Linked DNA regions of Lytechinus pictus. The protein of the gene in region 1 purifies or fractionates together with the protein of each later gene. This does not show direct contact. Links are inferred from orthologs where the notes say so. Each region holds a gene or a part of one and is shown on either strand. Other genes may lie near its edges.

The links.
Region 2: the proteins of glucose-6-phosphate 1-dehydrogenase X-like (region 1) and histidine--tRNA ligase-like fractionate together in Homo sapiens (co-fractionation; 3 studies listed by BioGRID). This does not show direct contact. The link is inferred for Lytechinus pictus from reciprocal best matches to the Homo sapiens genes G6PD and HARS1.

What each region holds. Positions count from the first base shown.
Region 1 is NC_087247.1:6,506,599-6,513,829, forward strand, and holds the start of glucose-6-phosphate 1-dehydrogenase X-like, read right to left. Parts: upstream 3,009-7,231; 5' UTR 2,976-3,008; intron 1-2,975. UniProt on the Homo sapiens protein: Catalyzes the rate-limiting step of the oxidative pentose-phosphate pathway, which represents a route for the dissimilation of carbohydrates besides glycolysis.
Region 2 is NC_087249.1:38,482,383-38,489,791, forward strand, and holds the start of histidine--tRNA ligase-like, read right to left. Parts: upstream 3,198-7,409; 5' UTR 3,169-3,197; coding exon 3,055-3,168; intron 1,758-3,054; exon of another isoform or gene 1,264-1,757; coding exon of another isoform or gene 1,153-1,263; intron 1-1,152. UniProt on the Homo sapiens protein: Catalyzes the ATP-dependent ligation of histidine to the 3'-end of its cognate tRNA, via the formation of an aminoacyl-adenylate intermediate (His-AMP). Plays a role in axon guidance.

The DNA.
Region 1 (7,231 bases):
TGATTCAAATGCATAGACTTTTTCTTCTTTGTGGGTGTTGGCCAGTTGGGCCCATTTCTGATAACCAAACTTCATGCTCCTACGCATCATAAAATCATACTTATTTTAGCAACCATGCTTCTTCAATGCTCACAAGTAAACACCCTCTTGTCTAATCTAAAAAATAAAATCATGATCTTGCCAGCACTGTAGTAAGTCTCCCATCAGCCCTATTTTTAAAAAACTTATCCTGCAATTTCTGACCTAACAAATTATCTTGATCAAAAAAATTCTCAAAGATTATTTGAAAGGAAGTTGCAGTTAATATTCGGGACATATCATTTCCATGATTTTGATATTCTAGTCCCAAGTCAATTTCGTATTTTATGATTTGGCAAATAATCGAGATTAGAACAGTCTAATGATTATCCGTGTTGAAGATAAAATTATTTCAATATTTCATTGACTTGAGATTGGAGATTGGAATACCAAATCAACTAAGATTAATGGGGTATTAATAGCACTCTATTTTGTGAATTATTCAGCTAATTTACAGGTGGAGACACACTCAGGTTTTGGCTTCGGATAATTTATTGTTCACGATACCATACCATCCCACGTTATTCAAACATAGAGCCATAAGTATACATAATCTACAAACACATGGTTACATTCAACACTCAAGTGACAATTCCACCCATTTGGGCTGATGGGGATGGGGTTTCTTGAACCTCATACCCCTTTCATAAACCTATCCTCCAATTAGCCGCCTAATAGTAATGCGGATAATTCAACAAAAATTGCTTTCACAAACTCCGAAAATTATCCGCATTATTTTTACGAGCGCCCGTCCTGAAAAAGGCGGATAATCGTCATGACAACTGGACACGCCCCCTCCGATACGGTTGTGTTGGAAAAGGGTGACCTTGTGACCGCACCATGGCAATTATCCGCATTATTTGGAAATACGTTCATAAACTCAAAATCTTGTCCCGATGCTGCTATTATGCGGATAATTGCAGCATCAAAATAATGCGGATAACTCTGGTCCTCCTCCGATTTTACGACCAAATTATGCTGCTATTAGCCGCATAATTGGGTTTATGAAAGGGGTATTAGAAGGGCCGATTAAGCTAGAATCTGAAGATCGGGCAACTCTGGTTGATGAGACAACAGCTCATGAAACTAATGTAGAACCCAAATTCAATCCTCCATGTTTGGATTTTTGCATTTTGAGTGATGGATGTTTTTCATACATCCAAATGCTTAGAAATGGGTGGTTGCATATATGTATGCAGCAGCACGGCCTAATAAATGAGCGCTGCTGAACGGTTTTAATGGCTTTTCAGTTGGGATAAATTTCCTGCACTTGCTTAGGCTCCACATTCAGACTTCAATGTCACTGTCATACGGTCATACCAGTAACAATACGGATAGTAATTTAAAAAGAAATTATTTTACTTCCTCACTACCTCTGAAAATTTGCTGTTTTTTCTCATTACTCAACTGCAACTTATTTTTTGAAGCAAAATAATTCCCTTTGTATGTACAATGAGCTTTGGCCCCACTTTTAGGTTATGGTTCCATAAAAAATGAGAATAAAAACTACTGGAGAAAACCACAAAACAAAAATCTTTATCTCCAGGAAGTTTAAAATTACATGTTGGTGGGGAATTGGTTGTTCCCAATCTTTTAAACACACATTTTGCATAACAAATAAAACTGCTTCCTCAATTATGAAGCTTCTAGCAGAACTCGGTGTGGCATGTATCACACAAGTGTATGTGCCGATCGATCGTACACATGGTTTGAAGGTATTCGGACATCACTCATCAGGGAGTCTGAAGCTCTGAACCATTAAGACTACATATATTACAAGGGATGATGATGAGGATGAGAGGAAGCTTGACAACAGCCAAGCACCTTTCTCTTTATTTCTGTGCATTTCTAACAATAGCAAACTGCATTAGAATCAGGGGGTGTTTCACAAAGATCTAGTTGCGCACGGTATAAAAGGCATGACAGCATTGGTCAGATCATGCCAAAAGGACGCGCACTACTACATATTGATAAAAAAGATTGCGCGTTGCATATCATGTACACGTCGGCATTTAAGTGTGTCCTAACTTAAGTCATAGTTTTATGTTTGTGAAACACCCCCCAGTCAACCAGTTGGTCAAAATAGTCAATTGACAATGATAGTATTTCAATTGAAATTACGAATCAAACGCACAAAATGACTATTTGGAAGTGATGTTTCTTGCAAATTTAACACATATCATTAAAACCTACACCCATCCCACCACCCACCGCCCCCCCCCCCCAAAATAAAAAAAATTAAAACAACCCTAAAATTGTCGTCGAACGCAACTGATTTTGCTGGTCTGAAAGAGGGCTGTAATATCCATTCCCGTTCCCTGACAAACATAACTGAAGAAAAGGTAAATACCGTTGATCTATTGGCTAATGAGTCTGTCAGTGTATGCAGCTGAATTTGTATTACTGATCGATGTTTAAAAAAGTTGATTGACTTTGTAACTGATTTTAGTGAATGCAAACACTGATTATAAATGTGAATCACACGCCTGCATGTACGAAATGCAAAGCACACCTTCTAGTAGATATATGTAAAATTGTATGGTATCATGACTTCATCCTGTTATGTTTAAGAACTTCCTAAAGTAGAGTGACATGTACAATATCGTCAGTTGGGTGTTAACACCTAATATTTCAAATAAAAATTGCAGGACGCTCAGAAAAAGTTGTATTTTAGAAATATATTGAAATGGGGGCAACCTCACATTGAAAACAGTCTCATAATATCTGAAGAGAACCAACTCTAGGAAAAAGCAGGTTGCCATCCATGTCACACTGTTGTAATTAAGCTTCTTCTGAGCTGTCCTAATATTTTTGAACTTTTTTTTAAATACCCCTCTAGCACTATACATTTCCTGCATATAGGCCTATATATCAATTCTTATTAAAAAAAAACTTACCATAGAGTTGGATAGATCTTCTTCTTTGCCAAATCTCCCTGCAAAGATAAAACAACGAGAGAAAGGGGTAATTCATATAGAAAAACAAGAATAAACAATTGTTTTGATGATACCATATATAAATCTTTTTGAAGTTGTTGAAAAATTGCATTGATACTCATGACCAGTGTGTTACATGTAGTATGTTTTCATAAGAAATTATCACCAAGATAAAAATCCTACATGAACATGACAGGCATAAATAATAAAAATATTTATATTTGTCTGGTGTACATTAAAACATCCATATGCACTCCTTCATTCTCCCTACCCCCTTCTCTCCTCCCTCCCCCCCCCCCTCATCTCCTACACCTTCCCCTCAATACCCCCATCTCTCTATCTATCTATCTACATTATCTATCTACCTACATCTATCAATCTATCTATCTATCTACATCTATCTATCTATCTATCTACATAGATATATCTATCTATCTACATAGATCTATCTATCTATCTATCTATCTACATCTATATATCTATCTATCTATCTACATCTATCTATCTATCTTTATATCTATCTACATCTATCTATCTATCTATCTATCTACATATATCTATCTATCTATCTACATATATCTATCTATCTACATGTATCTATCTATCTATCTATCTATCTATCTATCTACATGTATCTACATCTATCTATCTATCTATCTACATCTATCTATCTATCTACATATATCTATTTATCTATCTACATCTATCTATTTATTTATCTATCTACATCTATCTATATATCTATCCATCTATCCATCCATCCATCCATCTGTCTATCTATCTATCTAATGTATATCTGTCTGTCTGTGTATCTGTCTATCTATCTATCTATCTATCTATCTATCTATCTATCTATCTATCTATCTATCTATCTATCTATCTATCTATCTATCTATCCATCCATCCATCAATCAATTAATGAATTTCATCCATGTACCTGACTGTACCCATCATCATCCTACCGATTCACCTGCGAGGCCTATTAATCAAACAACCTATTAACAGACTAGATGGGAAATGAATAGAAATGGATCAATATTGGCCAATGACATTGCCTCGTACCCTTTAACTACAGCTGGCCTTTCAGGCTTTCAGGATGTAGTGGGAAAAGGTGACTGTATTCATTTTAATTTGTTCATTGGCATACAATCCATTATCTACTTAAAATCAACAAACTCGGCCAGCTCTTATGAATAAAATATCGACTGTTAACAATTTTTATTGCAAATTTAAAAAAATCTATGGCGGCTCCACTTCTATATACTCGTATACATGTCAGGCGGAAATCAATAAAAAATATTCAGTTTGAGATATTTTCAAGCATCTTCAAACTGGTAAAAATTTCACCCATTTCACATCAATATTATTTTATTTGAATCTTTTAGCAATTTAAAAGGCAAATAATGATTCGGCTCAAGAGGCAGATACGTTTGCTTTGTATATTCTCTTATCAAACTTCAAATTCTGTGTGTGTAAGATAATGAATGCATCCTGCAGCATGACTTGCAAAAAATCTTCAAACTCATTGCACAATGAGCATGATTTGAAATTACATATTTTTTTAATGAAGGGTTTGGGTTTTGTCATTGATATTCACTGCCTAATTTGCTCTCAGCAAATCTGATAGAATTTGCAGTAGTTTTTGATTATATGAAAATTCTTCCCCTGAGCCTGAGTTATTCTAGATTTCCAGGCATGGGGCTACAAATTGGTAACCATAAAAAAATGATAACAAAAATGACAGCAATATTCTAGAATTAATTAATGCAAGCCATAACAAAATATTAACAAAAATGATTAAAAACTGCCTCATTCATTCTATGAAATTAAATCTAAAGCACATGAATAGTAGTCAAAACTGCCTCATTAAATCCATGAAATAAAATCTCAAGCACACGAATAGTCGAAACTGCTTCATTCAATCTAAGAAATAAATTCTCAAGCACATGAATAGTAGCCCAGGGCTGTAGTAGAGTAACATGTATCATTCCCTAATGTCTTTTTTGAGAGAAGAGTGGAAAGACCCACGGGTGGGGGGGGGGGGGCAGTCAAATGTTTTGCTGTACACTTGCATGACAAAATATTTCCAAACACCCCTTAAAATGCATTTTTTGGTCAAGCATGTGTACAGCATGATGTTTGACTCCCCCCCCCCCCCCCCCCGGGTGAACAGATTGCTGCATTTAATTAAAATATTTGTATCAATCATCTTGTTCTGCCTGAATTAGAGCAGTTTTAATTCAAAAGGCAAAGGGGCAAAATGCATTGGAAGACTGCCTTAATTAATATGATTAAAATCCCTGCAGGTAACTGATGTTCAGATAAAATGTGATTGCCTTTTACAATTAAACAGATTAAGTTCTCTGGTCTCAATTTCTTTACTTTTCAGGCCATCATCAAAGTAATTTACTTTTCCCAGACAAAACTTGGATTTGATTTCTTCATGGATAAAATTACATCATTATCACGGGTAGGTATACTGACTAGTGCTGAGTGAAAATAAGTGAGACTCTACTACTCAAAACTACGATACTTCCTTATTTTACATCCGAATGTAATGAAATTTTCAGTGTTAGGCTTGATTCATATTTCTTTATCATCAACTCGTTGCTGGGGTGGACTTTGGCTTTGAATAAAAATCACAAATCATGACTATGGGAGACAGTCTTACTGAATTCATGAAAATGGTTCGAATCAGGAAGTACACAAGTTTAAATTAATTCAATGTCCTTGTTTGAATTAACTGATTATTCATTTACATATCAGAAATACAGTGTTTAATATGTATATATGTTACTGAAAATCTTAACTTTTGTTCTCAACACACTGGAAAATTTATAAAATTTGCTCAAAATGTCCAAGTATCCACTGCAGCCTTTATCAATTTGTGAGATTTCCAATATATCTTTTACCAGAGGTGCCACCTCCATTTCTACATGTACCAACACAGATCATTCAGTACTAAGTACAGGTAAATTTACTTTTGAGAAATGGTCTAGACACAATGTACATTTATATCATATGGCACTGAAAAGGGAAATCCCCTTATTTCTGAATAATTATTTGAATAACACCCCCCCCCCCCGGAAGTACACCATCCATGGAACGTTCCCCCCCCCCCCATAACCATTCAGGACCCAGGAATACTTCCACATCCATTCATTGCATACTCAAAATATTTCACTTCACTATAAAGTGTACTGTATGTTAATAAAAAAAAAGGGCCCCATGGTTATCCAAAGACGGTATGATGAGCACTCAAAGATTCCATTTTAAAGGAAAAAGAAAATAGTACAGAAAAAGAATGTTCAATAAAAAAAACACCAGATTAATTTTCAGATAATAAGTCGCTGAAAAAAAAATGATTCCATGGCCATTAGATGTTAGATGATAGAGTCAAGTATAATTCCCATTAGTGACCCTTTTAATAGAGAATCTTTGGACGGACTTCCAAGGCTCAAAAGTGCACTTAACACGACATATATTATGTGAAATGCACGGTGACAAACTAATTAGATTTGGTGGGTTTCATTATGCATTTTCAATCTCATTAGGGCAGGTGCATGATGGGAGTTGATTTGATAAAGCGACGGGGACAGGACTGCCGCCAGAGGCAAACTTCAGCTTGGTAGAAAAAAAAAGGATGAGAGAGAATAATTGCAAATGCATTTTTCACCGACCGTCTAATAATTAACATAGTCCACATTAATACTTTAAAATCCATGGTATATAAGTAGGGATATTCAGGGCCCCGTCTTAAAAAGAGTTACGATTGATCCAATCCCTCGTAACTCTATGGAGATCAATCAATCGTAACGTTATGGAAATCAATCAGTGTCATAATTTTTTCTACAGGAAATTTGCAAAATGTCCTAAGTAAACAAAGGAGATCACAAAAAATTGTCAAGAAATCAATTAATTTATGGATATACATTCATATCTAGATTTTTTTTGAACAAACATGCATTTTATATGTTGACTTTGCTGGCTTTCCATAGTTGCGATTGATCGGATCAATCGCAACTCTTTGTAAGACGGGCCCCAGGTATGATGGTAATGCAGTACTATCGTATGGAATTTGAATATTTAAGACATAGATTATGAGACCCACATGTTATGCTTTATAATTTCCCCATCATGCATGATAAAAAAGTAAGGGTATTTATTATCTACTAATTAATATGAAAAAGAATGCCAAAGCCATTGCAATGAAATGG
Region 2 (7,409 bases), on another chromosome or scaffold:
AAACTTTAAAATGTCATAACTTTCTTATTTTACATCCGATTTTGATGAAATTTTCACTGTTATACTTGTTGGATTTTTCTCTTTTTATTCCAATCAACTTTTTGTGGGGGTGGACTTGTCCTTTAAGCAAAGCCCCCCTCCCCCGAGAGTGGTATATAGGCTTCGATGTGCCACTTCTTTAGATGTAGCTGGTAGAACAAAGCCTACTGTTTCCTCTCCAAGTAGTTTCAAAGCCGCAATCAAAGTGGCTGAACTGTATATTGCAGATATGCCTGTTGCCTCATGGGTGCTCCAAAAACAGTATTTTTTCCAACAAATATACAACAACATGATATAGCCAAGGGCAGGGGGGGGGGGTGACTTCGACACCCCCACCCCCATGAGAGGGTCAGACCTTGATGTGCCAACATTTTTTTATGTAGCTGATAGAGAAAAGCCTACTCTTGACTCTCCAAGTGGTTGAAAAGCGGAGATAATTGCATTACATTTGTTACTATACATTATACATACATGTATTATACATGTTATACGTATTAGTCTATGGAAATGCATACAAAAAGTGGCATTTCTGAAAATGAAGTATTCAAGTTTGATACCTTATAATTTTCCTAAAAAGAATGATACAGAGTTGGAATTTCATCCACATAATAATAGTATATCAATAAAGTTTTCTGGAACATTTCAAGGTAATTGATCCATTTTTCTTAGAATTATGTAAAATCATGTATTTGCAACATTTTCAATTTTTGGGAAAAAATGGCAAAAAATGCAGTTTCTACTTAAAATCTCAGCCAAATGACCTACTTATCCCCTCTAAATAGTACCAAATTGTAGGAAATTTATTTGTCTTTCATATGACACTAACTTTGTGGCAATGGAATGTTTATGTCAAAATCTATGTACGAAAATTCGAATGTTCTGAAAATTTGGCGGCCATTTTGAAAAAAGCGCCCTCACGGGTTAATTTTCAGGATACAGCCTGGTTACCTCATATATTCATATTCAGCGTAAAAAACTGGTCTAGAAGCACTATATGAAAATTTCTCCTTTTCCGTGTGGCACCTTGCTCAATTATAACCCGGACTACTGCTACTGAGGGCCAAAGATGAATGGAGCCTATTAGATTATTCAATATTCAATGAGTAAACAAACCTGTTCATCAAATGGATCAGAATGCAATCCAGGGGAGATGGAAAAACAGCGGAGGGCGCGAGGAAGGATACGTTGGCGGAGACAGCACAGTTTTGCCCAGGTTAAGGCCATTGATGTCACAGAAAAGAATCCAGGAACACAAAGTCATTAATGTTTTGTTTCAAGATGGCAACAGTTCAATTTTCACATCACAATCAGTTTTCCCAATCCAGGTGCGAGAATCCGAAGTTAGATTTCATATTCCCGACACAAGAGGGCGTAATCATTACAACATTGTTGCGGACATTAATTCCATTGAAGTAAGTGACATGGTCCACAAATCATCCAGGTAGGCCGTCATCAATCAGATCCAATCAGAATGTATTAGGGTTTAGGTCAAAAGTCATTATAAGTTGTACATCCAGGCAACAGTGTTGTTGTGAAATTAATGATCCCAAAAGGACGTTTCCCGCAATTGCACGTCCGGAGCATATTCCACAGGCATTATGAAGTGTAATCACACGATTCATCCAGCAGTTGGCATCCGTCGTTACAGAAACCAATCCAGGGTGGTCGTTGATGTCAGGAAACCATTAGAGGGAGCCCCAGATAGATTTACCAGGCCAGTTGGAAGAAGATCCGGGTGACATCAAAGATCAACAGGTGTTGAGGTCCAGGAAGAGAGAGAGAGAGAGAAAGAGAGAAGGGAGAACAAATGGAGAGTAATTCTTTGAGAGTTCACCAAGTAATCATTATTTGTGTTTACTGTAATGAGCATTACTAATTTGTATTTGCACAATGTCTCACCAGATGAACTTGGATACATGTACAGATTTAACATTGGAAAATACCAACATCAATCAATTCAACCGAATGTTACATGTACGTTACGATGCATAACAATAAGCTCCCATTTTCAGATTCATGGTTTGCATCTGAAAGCACATTTTTTAGAGTATACTGTACATTCAAGTACATTTTTATTGTATCTTGTTCTATATTAATCTTTTCAAAGTATAAATTTTTATGTTCACATAAATTCATTTCAAATGTACAAAGGTAAACAAGGGATAAAACACCTTACAACAAAATGTCCCCCCAAAAAATCCATATAAATTTACATAGACACAAACTTACACATACTTATTAAAAAAGAGATGAGGTAGATAAAAACTCACTCTGCCTGAAAACTACATATATATTCAAATAGACCTACAGGTGTCTCATTCTGTCTTGAAGACATAAGTAAACACCTTAAATAATTCATTCAATCATATACTACATTCCTGTGAAGAGATAGAAAATAAAGATAGATCTATATTGAAAATATGAGATAGACTTTATGCATGTGCTCGTTTTTAATAGGCATTTCTGTTTCATTAAAAAAAACAAGTTCAGAATGTCATTCCACAACGCTTCTGAAAAGTCTTGAATACAACTCATATCCAATCGATAGGCGGTTCCCCCAACAGTAAAATGCAAGATACATGTTCAAACAAGTGAACAAAAATTTAAAAAAGGAGTTCAAATAGAAAACATAATAAACAAAGTATGACCGATATATATATATTCGGGGTCATAACATTTTTTGGAAGGGCACTTAAAGGAAAGGAAAGGCAGTGCTGACCTTAGGGAGCCTCCAAGGCCATTAAAAAAGGGATCAATAGTAAAATTTACTTTTGACTTCCATGGGGCACCAAGGCCACAAGAAAAAGGGGCATCACCCTTTGGCCTTAAGTCTACAAATATTTGAAAGGGTATCGAGGAAATTTATGAGGGCATCGAAGGACCTGTATGGCCATGGCCTAGAAAATTTAGGCATGCTACCCAAAATGACTGAAAATACAGTATTTAAGGTCCGAATTTTAAGTTGAAATTTTACCACGTGAAACATCCCCACCGAAGACGAAATGACTGACTTACCCTCTGTTTATAATGAAGAGGTTTAGAAAGCTTGAGCTCTCTGATCAGACAACCAATATTCACTATACTACGATACATGACATACTGCCTCCTCAGGAAGACGTCATTATCCATGTTGTCAGCTCAATAGAACATGAACGTGTAATCAGTAGAGCTTTGTTAAAATCTCCATTCCGGAGGCTTCCCTGGATCTGGGAGCGTTAACACAGAGTCAATCACAACCAGGGTTTGTTCAATGAAAATGTTTTATTTTAGAACAAACAAAATGTTGGATGTCTTTCAATTATAAAAGACACATTTTATTATAAAACCATGAAGACAGCTGAATTATCCAAATGTCAAGTGGCCTGGTCCAGAGAAAAGGCGTTTGGCAGGAATTGAATTATACCTGTAATAACTGCTGACAAATTCTACATGTGCAGCATGATACGCAGACTAGCTATAGTCTGCAGGCATAGACCCTGGTTGAAACTTTCATCAACAAGAAGGCCTTCATACAAGACTAGTATTCAACTTGCTGGGCCTTCTGTACTGTACTGTATGCAACTCTACACCAGAATCTAAATCACTGCCAGCTCACAGGCTCTCCAGAATCACAGTCTATTAAAGCAAATGGGCAATTTCAACAAAGTATCAAGGTCTGATTCTGATCTGTACTAATCACACTGCAAACAGGGTTCATAATGCACCTTTGATTATAGATGAAACCATTGTTTAAACTTGGTTTGGTTAAGAAATGTCCAGGTCAGCCCCCCCCCCCTTCCAAAACCGTTCCACTGCCCTTGTTGTCTACTGTCTTGGGATGTTTAAACTTGCTCCAGCGATAACACCAATCAAGATTAGTCTGGGGGCAGAAACTAAATGGGTCTTCACACATGACTCAGACACCGTTCACATTTTGCTTTCTAAAACTAGTTTACTGGAAACCGGTTCAGGAAACCAGTTTGGAAGATCGCTTTGCTAGCGTTCCCACTTGATCACACGAAAGTGGTTTTCAAAATCACTTCACGTAAAGCAATCTTGTTGCTACATGTATGGAAACACTCTCAGTGGGGCGACACATTTCGCGCGAAATTCGAAACCGCAGCGTAGACATTCTACACCTGTCGCGTGGAGTAGCGCGCACAAAATGTGCGAAGATCGCTTCACGAAGAAGGGTTGTGTCCTCACTTGCGCTAAAACCGGTTTATCGAGGCGAAGCGATCTTGAAAACTACATCGCGAGGTGGTATTCCGAACTGGTTTGGAAGATTGCTTCCAAGACCGGTTCGACTGTTCTTGCTACGTGTTAAACCACTTTCCACTAAACTAGTTTCCATTAAATTGGTTTAAGGAAGGTAGTGAGAACGGTGTCTAAATTATTTCAGGCCTTCTGTACACAGGTCATTGTAGGATCATAGGATGCACATACAGTACATACAGACCACAACTCAAGTGAAGGGTTTGCATAGCAGACTAGATCCAGATGCAGTGCCAGACACAGTAGGCGGTGCTGCACCAGCCGAGTTTGCTCAATCTGGAGATTTTAGCCCGATCGGCCCTCTTCGCAATTAATCTCGAGATTCAAGAAACCCCGTCTCCACCATCGCAAGAAGAGCGATTCCTGCTCGAGCGTGGCATCCATGCATTATGGTCTGACGCCGTGAATGAATAATCCAGAGTGCGTTTGCACCTGTGAATTAGCGGGATAATTCGTAAAATAGCACGCTATTTTGCAAATAATTCCAAGTTGCCTTGGGGTTGCAATCTCAAGATTAATCCTGCGAACTTGGGGTTGCAATCTCAAGATTAATCCTGCAAACTAGCGCGATAATTGTGTTTCCATTACAAATAATCTCGAGATTGTTCAGATCGGGATAATTTGCCGGATCAGAAGTAGCGCGCTAATTTGAAAACTCGGGCGGGTGCAGACGGCCCTAATGAAGTGTTGGGTTTGAGTTGATAGGAGGTATTGTTATGAAGAGGAAGGTCAGAATCCCGGGATAGATCTAGGGACCACAAAGCATCCAGGTGTAACAAACCTGTATGTTGGGATCACACTGGTTGTAACATTCTGATTATTTGGTTAAAGTTGTCAAGTTCACATTCAACAGATGACATCACTTATCAAGTTTCCAAAAGATGAGTTCTTCATAGAAATCAAAGCTTAAAGGCCTAATGATCAAGGAATGACTGCTTAAAAATAAACTCTGGTAATGGCAACAAGTGACAAAAAAATCAAATATTTACAGAATTGACCAAAACTTACACAGAATTATAAAAACTTATAAATGAATATCTGCCTAATTGTACAGAAAAATCTATAATTACAAAGTAATGAACAAATAAAGATAAGAAAATCCCTGAAAAATGCCTACTGTTCATAATGCGGTTCCACATACCGTTTTCTGTGTTAGCTACACCAGGAAAGGCATGCGGTAATAAAATGGATAATTTCAAGCAAGCCTGAACTATTTTAATTTGAGGCCAAGTCCATCCCAGAAAAATATAGATCTATTTGAATAAATAGAGAAAAATCAAACTAGCATAACGCTGAAAATTTCATCAAAATCGGATTGGGGTGGACTACTTTGTTGTTTAAATCTAACTAAGTAGATAACACATAAGCAATTTCAGAATGGACTTCAACCATTTCCTATTTATCGAATTTAGATTTCTACACTAGAATTCAAACTTCGATTTCTGTACAAAAACTCAAACTCAAATGAAGACGTTAAGGTTGGCTTGGGGGGAAGGGCAGGACTTGTCCATTATGAGCATTAATTTTTATACATTTCCCATTGAATTGAGTGCAATAAAACTATGTACTTGTGTGGTAAAAAATCCATAAAATGTCATTTCTCAGAAAATTGGAAATGTTTTTACTGCACCTTCAGGGGCCCGTTTCTCAACACCGTCATAAGTCTAACTTCTTGACTAAATCGGAGATAGTGAGCTACTTGTCCGCTAACCGTTTCACGAAGCCCTCTTTACCAAGATCGGGTACAACAACCTCACTAAATATTTATGACACCTCCGAACCTGTCATAACTTCTTTCTTAATGACGTAGTGGCATCACGTGGGTAGACTATGACATGCGAAAGTGCCTAGATATTTTAAAATTATAATCTTACGTAATCAATCATAGAGGTTGAAATTACATCACAAAACAAGTGGGTTAATGCATTCAATGATAATTGTAATACAAAGAAACTATAAAAACTGTTGGTAAACGCCACAGAACCATTCATTTTGAAATAGTAAAATGATTTAATCGATAAAGATTCTACCACGTCAGGCCATCCATAACTGAACTCGTATTTGCTGTTTTCAGAACCCTATAAACAGTTGGATAAATTCTATCTCTAATTTATGCATATAATTTGTCCAATATCGTATCTTTCGGTATCAATGATTAAAAATATTTCGTTAAACTATATTTTGATGACGTTTGGAATCGTAAAAGTCCGTATAATTATCATCATTTTACAGAGATAGAAAACCGTTATGGTTTACTTTCGTAAACTATTAAAATTGGGTATCCCGGGGGTACCCATCTCAACGTCCACAAGTGATTTTTTAGTCATGAAATTAAGTATTCATAATTTAATTTTCTCTGCAATTGAATGCTCCAGTCTTCATGGTCTAAGTATGTATGATGCATAATTCACCTGTGCTATTATTTTGAAAAGATTTATTTCCCAATTCATCATAATATTTGCAATTTTGTCATAATTATTATTTTGGAAAATTATGCTCTGTTGTGACTAAGGCTACATCTCGTCTGCTCTTTTTACCGATAGTATCGATATCAAGGTATTCTAGTTAGGAAGCCTTTCGAGAAACAGGTTTAGTAAGATTGGAACTAACTCCGTGGTTGGTGGATAAAGATATGACTAACTTGTCCATGTGTTGAGAAACGGGCCCCAGGCTTCAGTATAGACAAATCATTTCAAACCCGTTTCCAAAAATAAAACAAAAATAAGTCATCAGGAACCATTCAAAAATTGAAATTTATGCATTTTTACATTACCATATTTTTCGGAGTATAAACCGCGGCCGTGCATTAACCGCACCCTAGTCTAGATTCTAGACGTCGGTGTACTTGTTATTTCTCTCCCCTTGCTTCATTCTCCCCTGCGCGCTATCCCTCTTTCACGCCCCTCGTGGGGCTGTTTTCATTTCGGGCGTTGAGGTCGAGGATTGTGTTATTGATCAACTGAAAAGCAGAACAGTCCTGGCAAAGGACTAACCGCACCCCCAAATTCGGGAGGCTAAAAAAAAAAAAATTTAATTGGCAGATCGAATTTAAAAGCATTTTGAGTCCGCTAATTTCACTAAATATCTTTGAAAGATCAAAAGATATATTACTAATT